4 linked regions of the Callithrix jacchus genome follow. The protein of the gene in region 4 interacts with the protein of the main gene of each other region in a biochemical or structural test. Links are inferred from orthologs where the notes say so. Each region holds a gene or a part of one and is shown on either strand. Other genes may lie near its edges.

What was found. The genes of interacting proteins can lie anywhere in the genome.
Region 1: of the proteins of H2BC21 (region 4) and STK4, one has a biochemical effect on the other in vitro, tested with the Homo sapiens proteins (2 studies listed by BioGRID). The link is inferred for Callithrix jacchus from reciprocal best matches to the Homo sapiens genes H2BC21 and STK4.
Region 2: of the proteins of H2BC21 (region 4) and KAT2A, one has a biochemical effect on the other in vitro, tested with the Homo sapiens proteins (2 studies listed by BioGRID). The link is inferred for Callithrix jacchus from reciprocal best matches to the Homo sapiens genes H2BC21 and KAT2A.
Region 3: of the proteins of H2BC21 (region 4) and RNF40, one has a biochemical effect on the other in vitro, tested with the Homo sapiens proteins (2 studies listed by BioGRID). The link is inferred for Callithrix jacchus from reciprocal best matches to the Homo sapiens genes H2BC21 and RNF40.

The regions. Positions count from the first base shown.
Region 1 is NC_133506.1:40,327,473-40,331,467, reverse strand, and holds the start of STK4 (serine/threonine-protein kinase 4), read right to left. Parts: upstream 2,801-3,995; 5' UTR 2,736-2,800; coding exon 2,701-2,735; intron 1-2,700. UniProt on the Homo sapiens protein: Stress-activated, pro-apoptotic kinase which, following caspase-cleavage, enters the nucleus and induces chromatin condensation followed by internucleosomal DNA fragmentation.
Region 2 is NC_133506.1:91,110,911-91,115,005, reverse strand, and holds the start of KAT2A (histone acetyltransferase KAT2A), read right to left. Parts: upstream 2,801-4,095; 5' UTR 2,738-2,800; coding exon 2,399-2,737; intron 2,263-2,398; coding exon 2,139-2,262; intron 1,804-2,138; coding exon 1,658-1,803; intron 1,550-1,657; coding exon 1,460-1,549; intron 1,166-1,459; coding exon 984-1,165; intron 885-983; coding exon 693-884; intron 1-692. UniProt on the Homo sapiens protein: Protein lysine acyltransferase that can act as a acetyltransferase, glutaryltransferase, succinyltransferase or malonyltransferase, depending on the context.
Region 3 is NC_133513.1:30,299,989-30,303,954, reverse strand, and holds the start of RNF40 (E3 ubiquitin-protein ligase BRE1B), read right to left. Parts: upstream 2,801-3,966; 5' UTR 2,749-2,800; intron 2,635-2,748; 5' UTR 2,564-2,634; coding exon 2,432-2,563; intron 2,258-2,431; exon of another isoform or gene 2,115-2,257; intron 1,990-2,114; coding exon 1,822-1,989; intron 1,690-1,821; coding exon 1,548-1,689; intron 784-1,547; coding exon 577-783; intron 47-576; coding exon 1-46. Other genes in the region: CFAP119 (cilia- and flagella-associated protein 119), read left to right, coding at 3,321-3,536, 3,855-3,886.
Region 4 is NC_133519.1:9,820,310-9,824,431, forward strand, and holds H2BC21 (histone H2B type 2-E), read right to left. Parts: upstream 2,732-4,122; 5' UTR 2,690-2,731; coding exon 2,309-2,689; 3' UTR 501-2,308; downstream 1-500. Other genes in the region: H2AC20 (histone H2A type 2-C), read left to right, coding at 3,024-3,413; H2AC21 (histone H2A type 2-B), read right to left, coding at 3,570-3,962. UniProt on the Homo sapiens protein: Core component of nucleosome. Nucleosomes wrap and compact DNA into chromatin, limiting DNA accessibility to the cellular machineries which require DNA as a template.

The DNA of each region.
Region 1 (3,995 bases), on a different chromosome or scaffold from region 4:
CCACTATACCATTATCTAATAACAACTCACTTTTTAAAATTATGAATTCCTATATGAGACACCAATCTGTCATCATTCACTTAATCACATACATACAAATGTCAAACTCATGAACACAAAAGGCATTTCCTGCACTGGGGTTGTTGGAAACACATGCCATCTGAATTTCTGAAAGACACCAACATCTTTCCAAATACAAGTAATGGTGTCTATGAAGTAGTCATAGGTTTGGCTAATTCTCAAAGCTTTCTCCCATTTCAGAACTCCCATAAAGTTCATTTTATGTATAACTATCTCTTTTTCCACACAGAATTTGATATGGATTACAACAAATATATATGATAAGCTGACAAAATTTTTAATGATAATAAAACTGTGTCCCCAGCTTAACCCAATTCATATGTTGAAGTCCTATCACCCACCACTTCAGGATGTGACTGTATTTGAAGATAAGGCCTTTAAAGAGGTAATTAAGATAAAATGAGGTCATATGGGCATGCCCTAATCCAGTATGACTAGTGTTCCTATAAGAGGAGATTAGGACACAGACAAGTACAGAGGGAAGAACATGGAGACATAGCCATCTACGAGTCAAGCAAAGGCCTCAAAAGAAACAACTCTGACAATGCCTTGATTTCAGATCTCTAACCTTCAGAAAGGTGTGCAAATAAATTTCTGTTGCTTAAACCACCCAGTCCATGATACTTTGTCATGTCCTAAAAACTGATAGAAATGATAATAAAATTGATCTGCTTCAAATTAGGCAGTCTACTAGTTATAATGAGCAGGGAATCACCAGTCACTTAAGAACTCAGTCCTGTAATGCTCTTCTCTTGCACTTTTAATACATTTTTTTTAAATCCAAAAGGTACAGGAATGAGCATGCCAAGAAAGTTTAGTCCTTTGCCCAAGATTATGTAACACAAGTCAAAGGGGGAAACAAAACTCAGATTCCTAATCCCCTTTTCAATTAAAACAAGGCCTCAGAGAAAGAAACCAAGGAGAAAGAACAAACATAGTTCAGAAAGAAACATAACCAGTGTGCATTTGTAACTGGATCACTGTGGTACTATAGCAAATATTTGCTAACATACACAGAGACCTGTGAAACAGGGGTACTTTCAGAGAGGGATCAGAGTGAGGCAGTTAAAAGCATGGACTTTGGACCAGACCCCACAGATATTAAAATCCTAGCTCTGCCTCTTACTCGCTATGACTTCTCTAAGCAAATCACTACCCTGTCTGTATCTCAGTTTTATCATCTGTAAAACAGACATATAGGAATATCTACCGCACAGGATTGTTGTGAGGTTCAAATGAGTCAATAAATTGAACCATATGAAGTTACCATTTTATGGTTCAAAAATGGTCAAATATCAGCAATTTCATATGCTTCAGTAGGAGACATGGAAAGCACTTAGAAGAGTGCCTGGCACCTGGTAAGTGCAATATGAGTGTAATTAACCATTACTACTACAGTCTCAGCACACTAAGCTAGGGTGAATCCGAAGCCCATCCCAACCACCTATTTGCCTTCTGCAATGTTTGTGCACTTCAAACACCCCTAAGCTCGAACAACCCCCAAGAGTGCTGTCCAGATAGTCAATCCCTTCTCTTCACCTCTCGGTTGTCCTGCACTTCCACACCCTAAACACTTCCTTCTTTACAGTTCATTCTGCTGCAGGAAGTCAGACGTCTCTATGAAACAGAAGTAACCACACTGCACCTCAGAGAAGCATGACTCCTTCTGTCTCTACTCCCTACTTTTCTTCAGATGTGGCAGAGTGGTAAACGACCCGAAATGTCCAGAGGGGAAATCCAGGAGTTCAGATTTTCTAGGATCAGCCACCATCCTGATCTTGACCTAAAGCAATTCCAGGTACCACTAGGATCTGGCGCTGATATACACAAAACAACTGAGGTCTGAAAAGGGCACAGTCTGGCCGGGTTCAGTGACCCGGAATAAAGAAGGAAACACGTTTCCCAACTCTTCTGGACCTCGGTCTGCCCATCTCGAAAATATCCTCTTATTTCCTCACCTACCTCCCAATGTCAGGTTCTGAAGGGCTGAGGAGAACGTGAAGACCATCAGAAAGACACTCTGAACATCAGTAATAAAAGATGCCATCCTACAGTGGAGTCACCACCAACAGCATCCTCTCAAATGCTGCCCTCCACCCTCCCCTCCCTTGCTAGACCCTCAAACTCTCTTCGCATGCCTTCAGGCTTAGGCGCAAAGCTGTTCCTCTCCACAGATCCCCAAAACTGCACCCCTCAAGTGGGACTTGGGACCCTTAGAAAGTCCACCCGGCCTTCCTCTCGGCCAGTTCTCGATCTGCCCCCTTAAAAAGACCCCTCACAGGTTCTCACCCTGCTTCGGTATTCTCCCCGTTACCTCCGTGGACAGCCTTCCCCAGAGTGGCCCGGCCTCAGCAGGTACTCTCCCTAACTTGTCCCCACGTTCCTCAGCAGAGTCTCCCCGCAGCGAGTGTTCCCTCTCACCGGTCCCAAGTCTATCCCCTTAGCAGATGCTCCCCTCGCCCGGACCCTCACCCACCAGACGTCCCCCCCACTCAGCAGGTGCCCCATCAGCTGGGTCGCTTCGCTCCGGGGACTCCCACACAGGTGTCTCCCCGCAACCAGTTCCCGCCTTTTCTTCCCCCGCCCCCTTGCCTGTCCTCTTAGCTAGTGGCCCCTCACCGGCGCGGCGGATTCCTCAGCTGTACCGTCTCCATGGCGCTGCCGGCAGCCGCCCAGACCCGCTCACTGCTCCATCCTCCCCGCGGACCTCCCTATGCCCGCCCTGCAGACCCACCCACACTTCCGCTTTCCGCCCCTACCGGAAGCGGAGCGCGCCGCGGGAGCGGGGCGGAGCCACGGCCCTGATCACGTGGTTCGGGGCGCGAGTCAAGTGGCGCGGTCGGGCGCGGACCCGGAACCGCCTAGTGGTAAAGGCGCCTCCCGGCGTTGTCCGGTGGTATCTAGGGTGTCGGCGACGCTGTCTTCCTGCGATACTGGAGCGCACGAAATAGTCGGTACACGATGCACTTCTACCTGGGTCCTGGGCCCCAATTCACCGACAAAGATACATGAAGCGCGTCCATGAGAAGAGCTGACGATTCTTAGCAAACCAAGTTCTGTATGATTTTGGTGAGGCGGTGCTGCCCCAGAACCCCTGGAGGCATTTGTGGTTTCCTGCCGCTTACTTGGTTGAACTCTGGTCCCAACGGGCCCCCTGCACATTCTCTCCTCGGATTTGTTACAGAGCATCAACGTGCAAATTGCCCCACTGTTTTTCTTAAAGGCCTCCCCTTTACGTCAGTTTGCAGACATAAAAATAAGCAACATTAATTAAGCATTTGCCATGTATTTGCCTTTATATATTATCTCATTTAATCCCCCATGTCAAGCCTATAAGGTCATCCCCATTTTTATTTATTTAATGATTTAACACAGTGCCTACACGTTTTCAGTGCCTTACCTCATTTAATACTCCTAACAACCTAGAGGTATTATTATTATTCCTATTTCATAAGGCCAGAGAGGTGAAGTATCTAGCCCAAGGTCACATAGCTTAGAGTATAGGTTTGGGGATTTAAACCCAGGTTGGTCTGATTTCAGGGCCTGCACTACCAAACTGGACATCCACAGATGTTTAACCTCTTCTGGGGCCTGAGAGACAGACCTTTCTCTCCACTGTGAGTTCTCGCTTCAGCTATTGCGCTTCTGAATGCCACTACCATCAATGAATATTAGGAAAATGGCAGATTCTACCCAGTTGACCCCTGGGGAAAGTTACAGGAGAAAACTTAACCAGAGCAACCTCTCACTGTTTTTAATTGCCTTGCCTTTCCCAGGGATATTCCATCTACAGAACTTAACACCTGAGCACCCACCCTTCAGGGCCACCCAGGGATGGCATCCCATGTGCCCAAAACAGGATAAAATAAGCAACATTAATTAATCATTTGCCATGTATTTGCCTTCAAGTATTC
Region 2 (4,095 bases), on a different chromosome or scaffold from region 4:
TGAAGGTAAGAGGATAGGACACATCCAGAACAGAGATCAAAGAGGCTCAGTTTCGCCATGCTGGGCAGCACAAGGAGACAGGTCGGAGCTGATGTCATCCTGTGCTGTGTGGCCAGGCAGGACACCTTGTCACCCTGAGTCCCCTCACTGCCCTCAGTATCAAAATGGGCTCAGACTCCACCCCACCTTGCCTTTTTTTGTTCCCACCTGGTGGCAGGGGGCACTAGAGGATTAATCCAGGGCACAGGATTAGTCAGTAAGGCTTTTTGAACAGGGGAGTTATGGCCCAGATTGTAAAAGGTGTGGCCAAACAGAAGAACACGGTACAGAAAAGACAAGAATAGGAGTGGAAAAGGGTTTCACTTCAAGCATAAGCTCTGCTTTCTTGGAGAACTGTGCAGGGAAGGAGTCTGAGGCTGTGTCCAGGCCCCCATGGGAAATAATTAGTAATGTCTACCGGGGCGTGGGGTGAGGGGGGCAGCGTTAGCTCAGGCCATGTACCTGCCATCCCCAGACTAGTACTAGCAAGTTGCTTCTGGGCCATGGGCAAGTCTGCCAGGTAGACGCCCAGATCCCAGAAGGCCCATGGAGGGAGAGGAGGGACCAATCCAGGAAGCCTTCCTGGAAAAAAGGGGACAACAGGGAGGAAGTGAACTTGGTGCCAAATCCTGATAGGCCAGAAGGAGCCTTACTTGGGGAAGTGAGTGAGGATGAGGGTCCTCTTCTCCGGCACCAATTTGTCCTTCTCCACTCGGAACTTTTCCAGCAGCTGCCGGCGGGTGACAGTGAAAATGGATCGGAGAAGGCTTCGCCCAAAGACATGAGTGGTTTCATAGCGAGGCAGGCTGTCGCAGCTCTGGGGCACGTGGCAGTAACAGAGCCATCTAAAGTAGGGGGCAGAGGGGAAACAGGTGAGGGTGGAAACCACGGAACCCAGGCTGAGCCTGCAAGCCTGCCCTGACGCTGCCCCCAGCTGAGCCTACCTGGTGTAATTGACCTTATAGGTAGCCACGTCCTCAGCCTGAGACCTCTGCCGAAACTGGGCAGGTGTCTCAAGCTTCCAGTAGTTAAGGCAGAGCAAGAACATCTTTGAGAGCTCGAACATCGTCTGCCGCTCCCGGGGAGCCAGGTGACTAAACTTGTACTGCACAAAGTTCAGCACACCCTGAGAAGGGGTGGGTGGGGACAAAACCAGGAATGAGGTGTGAGCAGCCCGCAGGGCCTTCTTAGACAAAAGAAGATGCTTCCCGAGGCCAGGGACAAGGATCGCTCCTCTCTCTCAGGTGCTCTCTATAAAGAAGCTCTGCCCCCTCCCTACCACACCGAGGTTAGCACAAAACACCCTCCCTTCTCTGAACCTCCCCTATGTTCTCAGCTTGAGGATGGAGAACACAGGCTTCCCACTCCTCCAAGCTGTCCCCAATTCTCCTACCCACTATCTCCAATTCCCCAATCCCACCTGCTCAATATTAGGTTTTTCAAATGGGGGGCTGCCCAGGGACCCCTCCACCACGGGCCGAGTCATCTGCAGGATGCATTTCCGCAGGAGCTGCAGAGAAGAGGAAGGGGAGGCGGAGGGAGCGGGGCAGAGCTACAGACAACCCCTCAAGGCCCCACCTCCTCCACCCACTCACACCCTCCTTAGGTGGAAGCTCACCTTGAAGAGGTAGAAATAGACCTGCTTGGTGTCTGTGTCCTCCTCCTTGTGAACAGACATGAAGAGATTCTCCACGTCTACCACCATCCCCAGCAGTCGGTTTATCTCATCCTCTGACACATTCTCCAAGTGGGATACGTGGTCAGCTGCAAGACAGGTGGCAGAGTTGGGAAAAACTGATAGAAGAGAGCAACAAGGCTTCTTGCCCCTCTTCACAGCCAACCAAGATACACACTCCGTCCCACCAACCAGTGTGACCAACAGTGAGACTAATTGCTCCAAAGCAACCGTTGAGTTGCCTGGACCTGTTCTGGGCTGAGATTTCCTTTCCCCTTTCTTGATGCATGCACACCCCCAACCCAATCCCTCCTTAGGAAGCATCTTTGATTTTTTTTCAGAGATGAGGCTTTGTGGGACTTGTCACCCTGTCCAAGCAGGACCCTGCACCTGCCCCCAGCTCCAAAGGCGCTGCCTGCCTTACCCAAGGGGTGCTCACAACTGCGGCACAGCTCACTCAGGTTGGCAGCTGGCTGCTGCAGATCCATGCGGGGTGCAGTGGGGGGCTTGGGGTTTTTCCAGCCATTACACTTACAGGTTTCATTGGCCTGGAGGCGGAAGGATCAGTCTGTGACCTATATCTCTGGGGCAAGAGCCATTCCGCAGCCAGAGCTTTGACCCCATTCCCACCCGAGCCCAGGGATGCCCCAAGCCCCGCCCCTTCACCCCAGGCCCCGCCCCCACCTTGCAAGCCGAGAAGACCCCTAGCTTCTCTAGCTTCTTGGCGCGCGGCAGCCCCCGGACTTGCGCCTTCCTCTGGCTAGCGCGCTGCTGCTGGCTCAGGCCAGGTCGAGCCGGATCCCCCCCGCTCCCGGCCCCCCCACTTCCTACCCCGGGCCCCCCAGTCCCTGTGCTCCCGGCTGGGGCTGCAGCTGGGGCAGGGGCTGGTGCCGGAGTGGGAATCGGAGTCGGGGCTGAAGCCGGGCTGGGTGCAGGAGTCGGAGTTGGGGCAGGGGCTGGGGACTGAAGGGGCCGGGGCTGCGCAGCCGGGGCCGGGGTCGGGGCCTGGGAAGGTTCCGCCATGGCCTCCCCCGCAACGGAGAGCGGCGCCGCGCTCCCAGCCCTAGGGCCGCGTGGGCAACCGGCGCTCAGTACGCAGGCGTCGTTGCGCAGCGCACGACGGGAGCTGTAGTCTTCCCGCTCTGTTCCCCCACTGCCTTTAGCTTCCAGACTTTTCTGTCCTGTCTCTTGGTCCCTGACAGCCAAGTGAGGCCTGAGCGAAAGCCCCACATTGACCCCTCTTCACTTCTAATCTCTTTTAAAGGTGTCCGAGCGAGTCACGATGGCTGCTTTCTTGGGGACAAGGAGTATTGGGAGAATCATGAGGTCTGCCTCTTCCCCGAGTCTCTCTACGGCTTAACCGTCTCCCCAACTCCTGCACAGGCCCGGCCCCACGCGGCTCCGGACACGGAATTGCAGCTGCGGTAGAGATGAGATGGAGCAACAGTTCTGCTGCAGTGTGGTGGTGACTTCGGTATGTTCTCTTTCTGACATTCACCTGCATCCTTTTGTGTGCTTTTCTGTATGTATGTATTTAATAGTATCACTAACAAAGGGAGTTTATCAGGCCAGGTGGCTGGCTCACGCAGGAGGATCGCTTGAGCCCAGGAATTCGAGACCAGGCTGGACAACATAGGGAGACCCCCCATCTCTACAAAAAATAAAAAAATAAATTTTATAGGCTGGGTGAGGTGGCTCACGCCTGTAATCCCAGCACTTTGGGAGGCCTAGATGGGAGGATCGCTTGAGCCTAGTAGTTCGAGATTAACCTGGGTAACATAGACCCCTGTCTCTTAAAAAATAAAGTTTATCAAATAACAGCACCAGAGCCATAGCTGTGGTCACGATGGTCACCAAGGCTACTGAGGTGGAGGGTCAGGCAGAGGAGAGCTAGGTCTTTCTCTGTGCACTGGGAGCTGCTGTCCTGAAGCCCCAACTGTGCCTTCATCTTTGTGGCCCCAGAGCCCAGAACCCAGCTTGCCTCACAGGAAGCCCTAGGAGCTCATTTATTAAGGCAGCTGGAGAGACCAGTCTGCCTCCTCGTCTCCACGTGTCGCATGGAGTTGCCGGTGGTCAGGGAGAGGCAGGGTGGATGACCCAGGAAGGCCACCCTCCCCTGGCTGTATCTGGGAACAATCCTAGCCCCAGGTCTGGTCCTTAGAAGGCAAGACAGCCCCCTTCCCACTAGCCAGCGTATCAGTCTGCTGCTGGCAGCGGCGGGGTCCGGCTCCCTCAGATCTGGCCTGGTTGTGGATCCAGACCCACAACCCCAGACCCATTGACGAGGTGGGGAAAGGCGGAGAAAGGGTCAGGGTCTGGGATGAGAGCAGCTGCCTGGCGCTGACAGTCTTGCTCTTGGTGGTAAGATGGGCGTGGCTGAC
Region 3 (3,966 bases), on a different chromosome or scaffold from region 4:
TCTCGGGTGCGTGCCCGAGCTGCCTCACTGAGGGGCTCGCTGTCCCCTGGAAAGGCAGGGCCCAGGTAAGAGCCCAGCTCAGGGCAATGGGGCAAAGTACTAACTTATTCTGGAGTCTGCTATGTGCCCAGTGCGATCGATCAGCTGTCTTGCCAATTTCTCACGACAAAGTCAAGAGTCTTTATCCCCACTGCACAGCAGAGGAAACCAGCTCAAAGAGGGGAGCCACTTTCCCAGCATGTCCAGGTGAGGGTGGCAGAACTCAAGTGGGAGAAGCCTGTCAACCTGAAAGACCTGAGGCTTTGATGCTATGCCATGTGCAACCCGCACAAAGTACTCCAGAGAGGTTCTACCAGCATCAACAACTCCTCCAACCCATCTCTCTAGCATTCAATCCAGGAATCAAAGCTGGAGCCTCCATTTATAGCCTAACTTATCCTCCCAAACACATGGCTTATTTATGCCTTGGGAAATTCTGGCCACCCTTGGACTCAGGCCTTAGGGGAATTGGGAAGGAATGCCATTAAGATGCAGGTGGAGATGGACACCTCTTGAGTATGGGTATAAAGAACCAACCTCGGCTGTACACTCGCTGACAGAGTTCCTCCACCCGGCGCTGTAGGCGGTCTGAGGCCTCTACCACACGGGACACAGCTGCCTTGGAGAACTCCATTCGGCCTTGCAGCTCCAGCTCCACCTCCTCACTGCTGCTGGCACCCAGTGCCACCACAAAAGCCAAGGCCGGCTCACTGAGAGGGGGCCGCAGCTGCATTGGCAAGGGCTCTGGGAGGAATGGACAGACCCTCATGAGGATAAGCAGTAGTTATCACCACTCTGTACCAAGTTTCAGACTGAGCCCTTCCATACTCATGACTCACTTAATCAACACAACTATTATCTCCATCTTAAAAGTGAGACAAATGAGGTTCAGAGACATAAATAATTTCCTCAAAATTACCAGGACCAGGAAGGGCCTCGGAGGTGGATGTCTGTCCTTCGTCCTGAGGCACAATTACCACCAAAGCTACAGAATTGCATATCATGTTCTCAGGGAAGCCTCCTGTATCATGTACTTATGGAAGCCTCCTGAGGGACAGTTACCACCAAAGCTACAGAGCTGTGTAACATGTCCTCAGGGAAGCCTCCTGTACTTTCCCATTGTAAATTACGAACTCACAAACACACACATGCATGCACACAGTTACTCCCTTTTGGGAGCCCCAGTACTTTTTGCTTACTATGTTTATGATAATTCCTCCCTCATAGCAATTGCAATACTCATTTCTAAAGCAGCGTCAAATACATAGTCAATGCTCAACAGTAATACTGTTTTGAAACAAATGGGTGTCAAAACATAAATTGCTCTACAAACCAAGTTAGACTCCAAAGGCTGTGTTTTTGTGCACTGCACTTTACTGCCCAAATATGAAATCCATTTCGTGGGGAGTAGTAAGGCAACAAATTCAGGCGCTCAACACCAAAGTCCCCTCCTCCCCAGGGCTTTTCCCAGAACTTAAGCTCCCCAGAACCCAGGACTCTGGTCCTACCCCTCAACTCTGATGTTCCTGGCTCTGGAAGAGGAGTCCCATCACATGTTAGCCCCTCCTGGGTCCCAGGTGCCTCAGGCACTGAAGACAGCTCCCCCTGGCTCTCATGGCATCGGAGAAGGGCTTCCACAGTTTCATCCAGCTGAAAGGAGAAAGAATCAAAAAGGTTATGAATACCTCAGTGCTTTCCCGCATGATACTGCTTTCCCAGCAGGGGAATCTGAAGATTGGCAGCTAAATCAAGGCCTGGTCTTGGAAAGCAGAAGGCATCCACCTGGGCCCAGTAGCGATTGACAATGAAGAGTGTGGCATCATCTGTGGCCTGCCGCTTCTCCAGCTTCTCAATTCGTTCTCGGAGTTCATCTTCACAAGCCTGTCGCTGTTCCAACCGCTCTGCCAGTTTCTTGTTCTTGAACTGTAGTACCTTCAGGTCCATCTCCTCCTACCAAGGGAAACAAAGGGGTCAAGTAGGAGAGAGAGGGTCAAGCAGGGCCAAGAAACCAATCACAGAGACAGAGGAGCAAAGCATCTGGAATGCATGGGAGATGGGGGTTTTCCCAGACTAACCGCTAACAGAATCTAAGGAGGTTCAGACAACCCACAGCGAAAGTGTCTTGGTTGTGAGGAGGCTCTCGTTGTTTTCTGCCTGGCCCCTTCTAACTCCTTAGTCTTTGACAAATCACACGCCCTCTGGGAACCTGTTTTCCTATCTGTAAAGGGAAGACAGGCGTCGTGTTCTCAGATTCTTTCAACAGAGTATCTTGTATATCTCGTAACGCGTACCTTGCTAAACGAGGGGAAGTGGGTTTAAGACTCTGGACAGTTTAGGCAGAGAATAGGAGGACTCTGACAAGTTCTGAGTGTTAAGGCAAGAGCCCACGAACCGTGGAAGAGATGCCTCCCAGACGAATGGGCTCGATAAGAGTGGTGGTGGTCTTCTCCTCACGACTCAACTTCTTCTCCGGAGGCCCTGAGCCCCCGTCGCCGGCGGCGCGTTTGTTGCCTGGCCCAGACATGGCCGCAGCGGCAGGAGCGGCGCAGGGTCCTCTGAGGGGCGTCAGGCGGGAGAAGGCAGTACTTCCGTCACCTGCAGAAGACAGGGAGCAGAGATGTGGGAACTGCTGGTGCTCTACAACCCTAAATAACCTCCACTACGCGAACACCTGCTGGATCCCGCCCCCGCCGGCGCCAGAGCCCTCACCGGCAACAGGGTCAGTCTAGCGTAGCCATCTTGGATTTCACCGGACGTCACTGGCCTCCCCGCCCCCCGGTGCGCAGAACGCCGGCGCCAGAGGCAGCACCGGATGTGAGGAAACGTCTTTATCTTCTGAATCTATTGGTTACACTTGGTCCCACCTCTCGGGTGCTTTGGCTTCTTCCCAAACACCTCCTCTTTCTCTCGGTGATTGGCCGAGAGGCAGTTCCCATGGTAACTGACACCGCGCTCCCACTTCCCAGCTTGGAGAAGACTTCCGGCAACTAGGACGAGAGGGCGCCCAGGTGGGCGCTCGCAACTTCTTACGTATCTGCGCGTTCGCTACTGGCGTGAGCCTGCATTTTCCGCCCTCCTTCCCTCGCAAGCACCCTTGGCAACCGTCGCCGTTGAGACAGAGGGAGACGCCCCAACGGATTGGCCCCGCCGCGCCTCTCCGCCAGCAGACTGGCCAGACCGAGGCGAGCGCCCGGCCTTGGCAGCCGCAGACCGAGAACTGGCTGTCCCGGAACCGAGGGGCGGGAGCTCGGGGCGTCCTGCAGCACAGTAAGAGCGGCGAGATGCTCAACCGCAAAGCCAGCCACTTCCTGGGAATGAGGGTGCAGTCGGAGCTTGAACACCTCTCCGAGCTGCGGCGGGAAGCCGGGAAGGATCGCAGATCAGTGCGTGGTTCAGCCGCGCGGACGCGAGCAAATATACGGAACCAGTCGACAGCGGCGGCGGCGGCGGCGGTGGCGGCAAAAGCGGATGAAGACCGTGGAGCCAACTTGTTCCCGGTGAGGGCAGGACAGTCTGGTCCGCTCGTGAATATTTATAAACAGGTTCCCCCGCAGGCCCCACACGTCATTATGTTTACTAACGTTCGGGACGTCTCCCGGGCTGCCTGGACGAGGAGAGGCAGGGGTGTGTGACCCTCGTGGTTACTGTGCTCGCGAAGAGCACTTGGGGCCTGCTGAAGCCCGCCCTTGCCCGCGCCTCTCCTTCTAAGTCCTTGAGATAGCAAGTTACATACAGCGCGTTCTTGTGCCCGCTGGAGATTTGCCATGGGCCAGGACACCGTAGCTCTGCCTCCCCAATTCGCTTTCTTTCCGCAGCCGCCGCTGCCCCGGCCCCAGATCTGCATGTGGTGAGTGTGAAGAGACTTGAAGAAAAGTTACACTGAACACTTGCGTTCTTCCTTCATTGTCTCCCCAACAGTCCTGTCTT
Region 4 (4,122 bases):
CTGGTGAGAATTAAATGTGTCAATATGTATAAAGGACCTAGAACACTGCCTGATACATAGTAAGTGCTCCATAGGTGTTAGCTTAACTTTATTATGAACTTTATTTCTTCAATCTTATTTGTACTGCTTTCTATTTGTGATCATATATTTTTCAATTACTCAGCATTAACAGTGACCTTTTTTTAAAAAAATTTTTTAATAGAGACAGGTTTTCATCATGTTAGGCTGGTCTCGAACTCCTGACCTTGTGATACGCCTGCCTTGGCCTCCCAAAGTCCTGGGTTATAGACATGAGCCACCGCACCCAGCCAACAGTGACCTTCTAACAGACTATTTAAGCCCCAATGCACCTTTGGGGCAGCAGTTTGGCTGGTGGCTTATAAACAAGTCATCCCCCAGCTCAGAGGCTCCCAAGCTTTTCTACAGAACCAGTGGAAGTTGTATCTGTTAATCTCATTCATTGAGAAAATATACTGTAGATAAAATAATTCAGCAAAGACTTTAAATTAACTGGCAACTTTATTAATAATAACATCTACACACATTTGAAAACACACATGTAGGAGACAATTAAGATTTATTCAGTCTGTGATAATATCTAGAGCTCATTTGGATTCATCAAACCCCTGCAATCAACTCCCAAAGCCCTTAGCTAAAAGTAGAGTTGAATCACTCATCAAACCATCAGTGTGTTCCTCGGCAGAATCAAGGGTTTGACAGAAAGAGTAAATATTCTGCACTTCCACAAAATAAAACTAAAATGCAATTGTCCTGCATCTGAGAATACAAAGGTGGGCAGTATGAACTGCATGACCATGGACCAATCAGGCTTCTCTTGGCCTCATTTGTTTAAAAAAAAAAAGAGAGAGAGATTAACTTTGTAGTCCTGCCCATCTTGAATGGCCGCCTGAAAACCAAACCAGGTGGTGAGTGCAAATTAAAAGCTCCTCTCCTTTAAGAAGGGAACACCAAGACAGGAGTAGAAAAGAAGGAAAAAGGCTCTTTCCCATGACCAATACGCTGAATTTGATGAAAATCCAAAGGAGGTTAGGCTAAACCGGGAAGCACAAAGGTGGAACTACCATTGCCACCTCCTCTTTGATGCAAAAGAATCTTAACACGGCCCCCTCCCAGCTGTTGCACTGAAGTGACTAAGGATACATTTGAGGGAATAACTTCAAAAACATTTCCATTTTCACCGCGCCTTCACGTACATCTAATGGAAATGAACAGCACCCATCATCCATCCACAGAAGCGATTAAAAAACAAGTGGGATGGAAAAATTAACCCAACAATATTACTTCAATCCGTAGTATTGAAGTAAGTGTCCATAATGTGCCAGACTGACTGGCTGAAGAGGCACGGGAAAACCAGACCATCCGGTCTGTCAAGGGCTTGAGAATGCCATGAAGAAAACAGACGAGCCAATTTCAGACAGCTGCTACGAGGAAGATAAAACGAGACCGGGAACTATGAGAGGCGCGAATTCCTGAGTGGATGACGTAGAAGGTCTCTGAGAGGTGACTTTTGAGCTCATATCTACATGGTGTCTTGCAGTGACCCGGGGCCGTAGCGTTACCATTTTAAAGCAGACACCATTAAAAGCAAAAATTATCCACAAACCGAGAAGTAGGAATCTCAAAGTGAACCACGGAAACTGAAATCTACAAATTAGAAAGCGGCGCAGAATTTCGAATAGTCATGTCGCCCAATCAGGAAAAGGCTGGGACCCGGCTGCGCGGGCTTCGTCCAAAGTACACAGAACGGCTGGCATCCACAGGAGGCCCCATCCCAGGGCAAAACTGGTGACCGGACACAAAAGCTGCTGCGAAGCGTCAGTCATACAGCGCTGTCACGCAGTTTGCGGCACCCGGACTGAATTGTGTCCCAGAGTTCTCTTAAGTAACAGCCGGACTCAGCCACTTGGTTTTGAAATGATGAAACAGACCCAACGAAGCCACCAGGGCGCCAGTGTAAGGCGGGGGTGGGGGCGGGCAGAGTCGGATTCCCAACACCCTAAATGAGAACGGACTCCTGGGAAAGCTAAGCAGCACAATGAATAACGACACGCTCTAGATTCAAAAGCAAATCCAATCATGCACTGGGGACCTCGAGTTCCAAATGATTAAGCTACGTGTGCTATTTCCCATGACTTATGCTAAAACAACTTACTTTGTGAGAAAAAACTAAGGGAGTAAGTGAACAAGCTCTTTTCTAGTGATTAGGTGGGTGGCTCTGAAAAGAGCCTTTGGACTCAAGCAGCCGGCGACTCGAGCGAGCGAGCGAGCGCCAGGTCCCGGCAGGGACTCACTTGGAGCTGGTGTACTTGGTGACCGCCTTGGTGCCCTCGGACACGGCGTGCTTGGCCAGCTCGCCGGGCAGCAGCAGGCGCACGGCCGTCTGGATCTCGCGGGACGTGATGGTGGAGCGCTTGTTGTAGTGAGCCAGGCGGGACGCCTCCCCCGCAATGCGCTCGAAGATGTCGTTGACGAAGGAGTTCATGATACCCATGGCCTTGGACGAGATGCCGGTGTCGGGGTGGACCTGTTTCAGCACCTTGTACACGTAGATGGAGTAGCTCTCCTTGCGGCTGCGCTTGCGCTTCTTGCCGTCCTTCTTCTGGGCTTTAGTGACGGCTTTCTTAGAGCCCTTCTTAGGAGCAGGAGCGGATTTTGCCGGTTCAGGCATGGTAAGACACAGTACCAACGCGACTTAGCCAAGAAAAGAAGTAAGAGAATGGGCGGACCTGATCCTTTTATAACCATCTTATGCAAATTAAGGCTCCGAAACTAATTCACTTCCATTGGTCCGTGTGTGGACCTTGCGTTTTCAGCAACGTCTACGTAGCGATACCGACTCTTGACTTGATTGGCCGGCTCTGAAGCCAAATTAGGACCAATGAAAAACTCGTCCTTGACCCCACCCCTAAGAAAGCTTATAAAGGCTTTCTTCTTGGTGATCTTTCAATCTTATTTTGTTGCGTGGTTCTGAGCTTTGTCTGCGTTTAGCCTTGGTTTTAATCATGTCTGGCCGTGGCAAGCAAGGAGGCAAGGCCCGCGCCAAGGCCAAGTCGCGCTCGTCCCGCGCTGGCCTGCAGTTCCCGGTAGGGCGAGTGCACCGCCTGCTGCGCAAAGGCAACTACGCGGAGCGGGTGGGGGCCGGCGCGCCCGTCTACATGGCGGCGGTCCTGGAGTACCTGACCGCCGAGATCCTGGAGCTGGCGGGTAACGCGGCTCGGGACAACAAGAAGACGCGCATCATCCCCCGTCACCTCCAGCTGGCCATCCGCAACGACGAGGAGCTGAACAAGCTGCTGGGCAAAGTCACCATCGCCCAGGGCGGCGTGTTGCCCAACATCCAGGCCGTTCTGTTACCAAAGAAAACCGAAAGCCACAAAGCCAAAAGCAAATAAATGCAGACAAACCAAAGACCAAAGGCTCTTTTTAGAGCCACCCAAGTTTTCAAAAAAAGAGCTAATGCGCTGTTTCGTTACCAGCCCTTCATTTGACACTTTGGTGGCTCTTAAAAGAGCCTTTGGGGTGAATGGGTATGGTGTCAAGCCTATTTATTACTTGCTCTTGCCAGGCTTGTGACTCTCCGTTTTCTTGGGCAACAGGACAGCCTGGATATTGGGCAAGACGCCGCCCTGGGCAATGGTGACACCCCCCAGTAACTTGTTGAGCTCTTCGTCATTCCTCACAGCTAGCTGCAGATGGCGAGGGATGATGCGCGTCTTCTTGTTGTCCCGAGCCGCGTTGCCCGCCAGCTCCAGAATTTCCGCGGTCAGGTACTCGAGGACCGCTGCCAGGTACACTGGGGCGCCGGCCCCCACCCGCTCCGCGTAGTTGCCTTTGCGCAGCAAGCGGTGCACTCGCCCCACCGGGAACTGGAGGCCAGCGCGGGACGAGCGCGACTTGGCCTTGGCGCGGGCCTTGCCCCCCTGCTTTCCGCGTCCCGACATTACGGCTAAAATTGCAGTCACAGCTTCTTTTTCAAGGAGAAGAATGTGGAAGGGATAACCAATTTGATGTAATTTATAAGAGCCACCGGGAGGGGTGAAGGGAAGTCGTTTGATTGGCTGAAAGCGGAGCCGTATCCAACAGCCAATAGGAAAGCAGAAA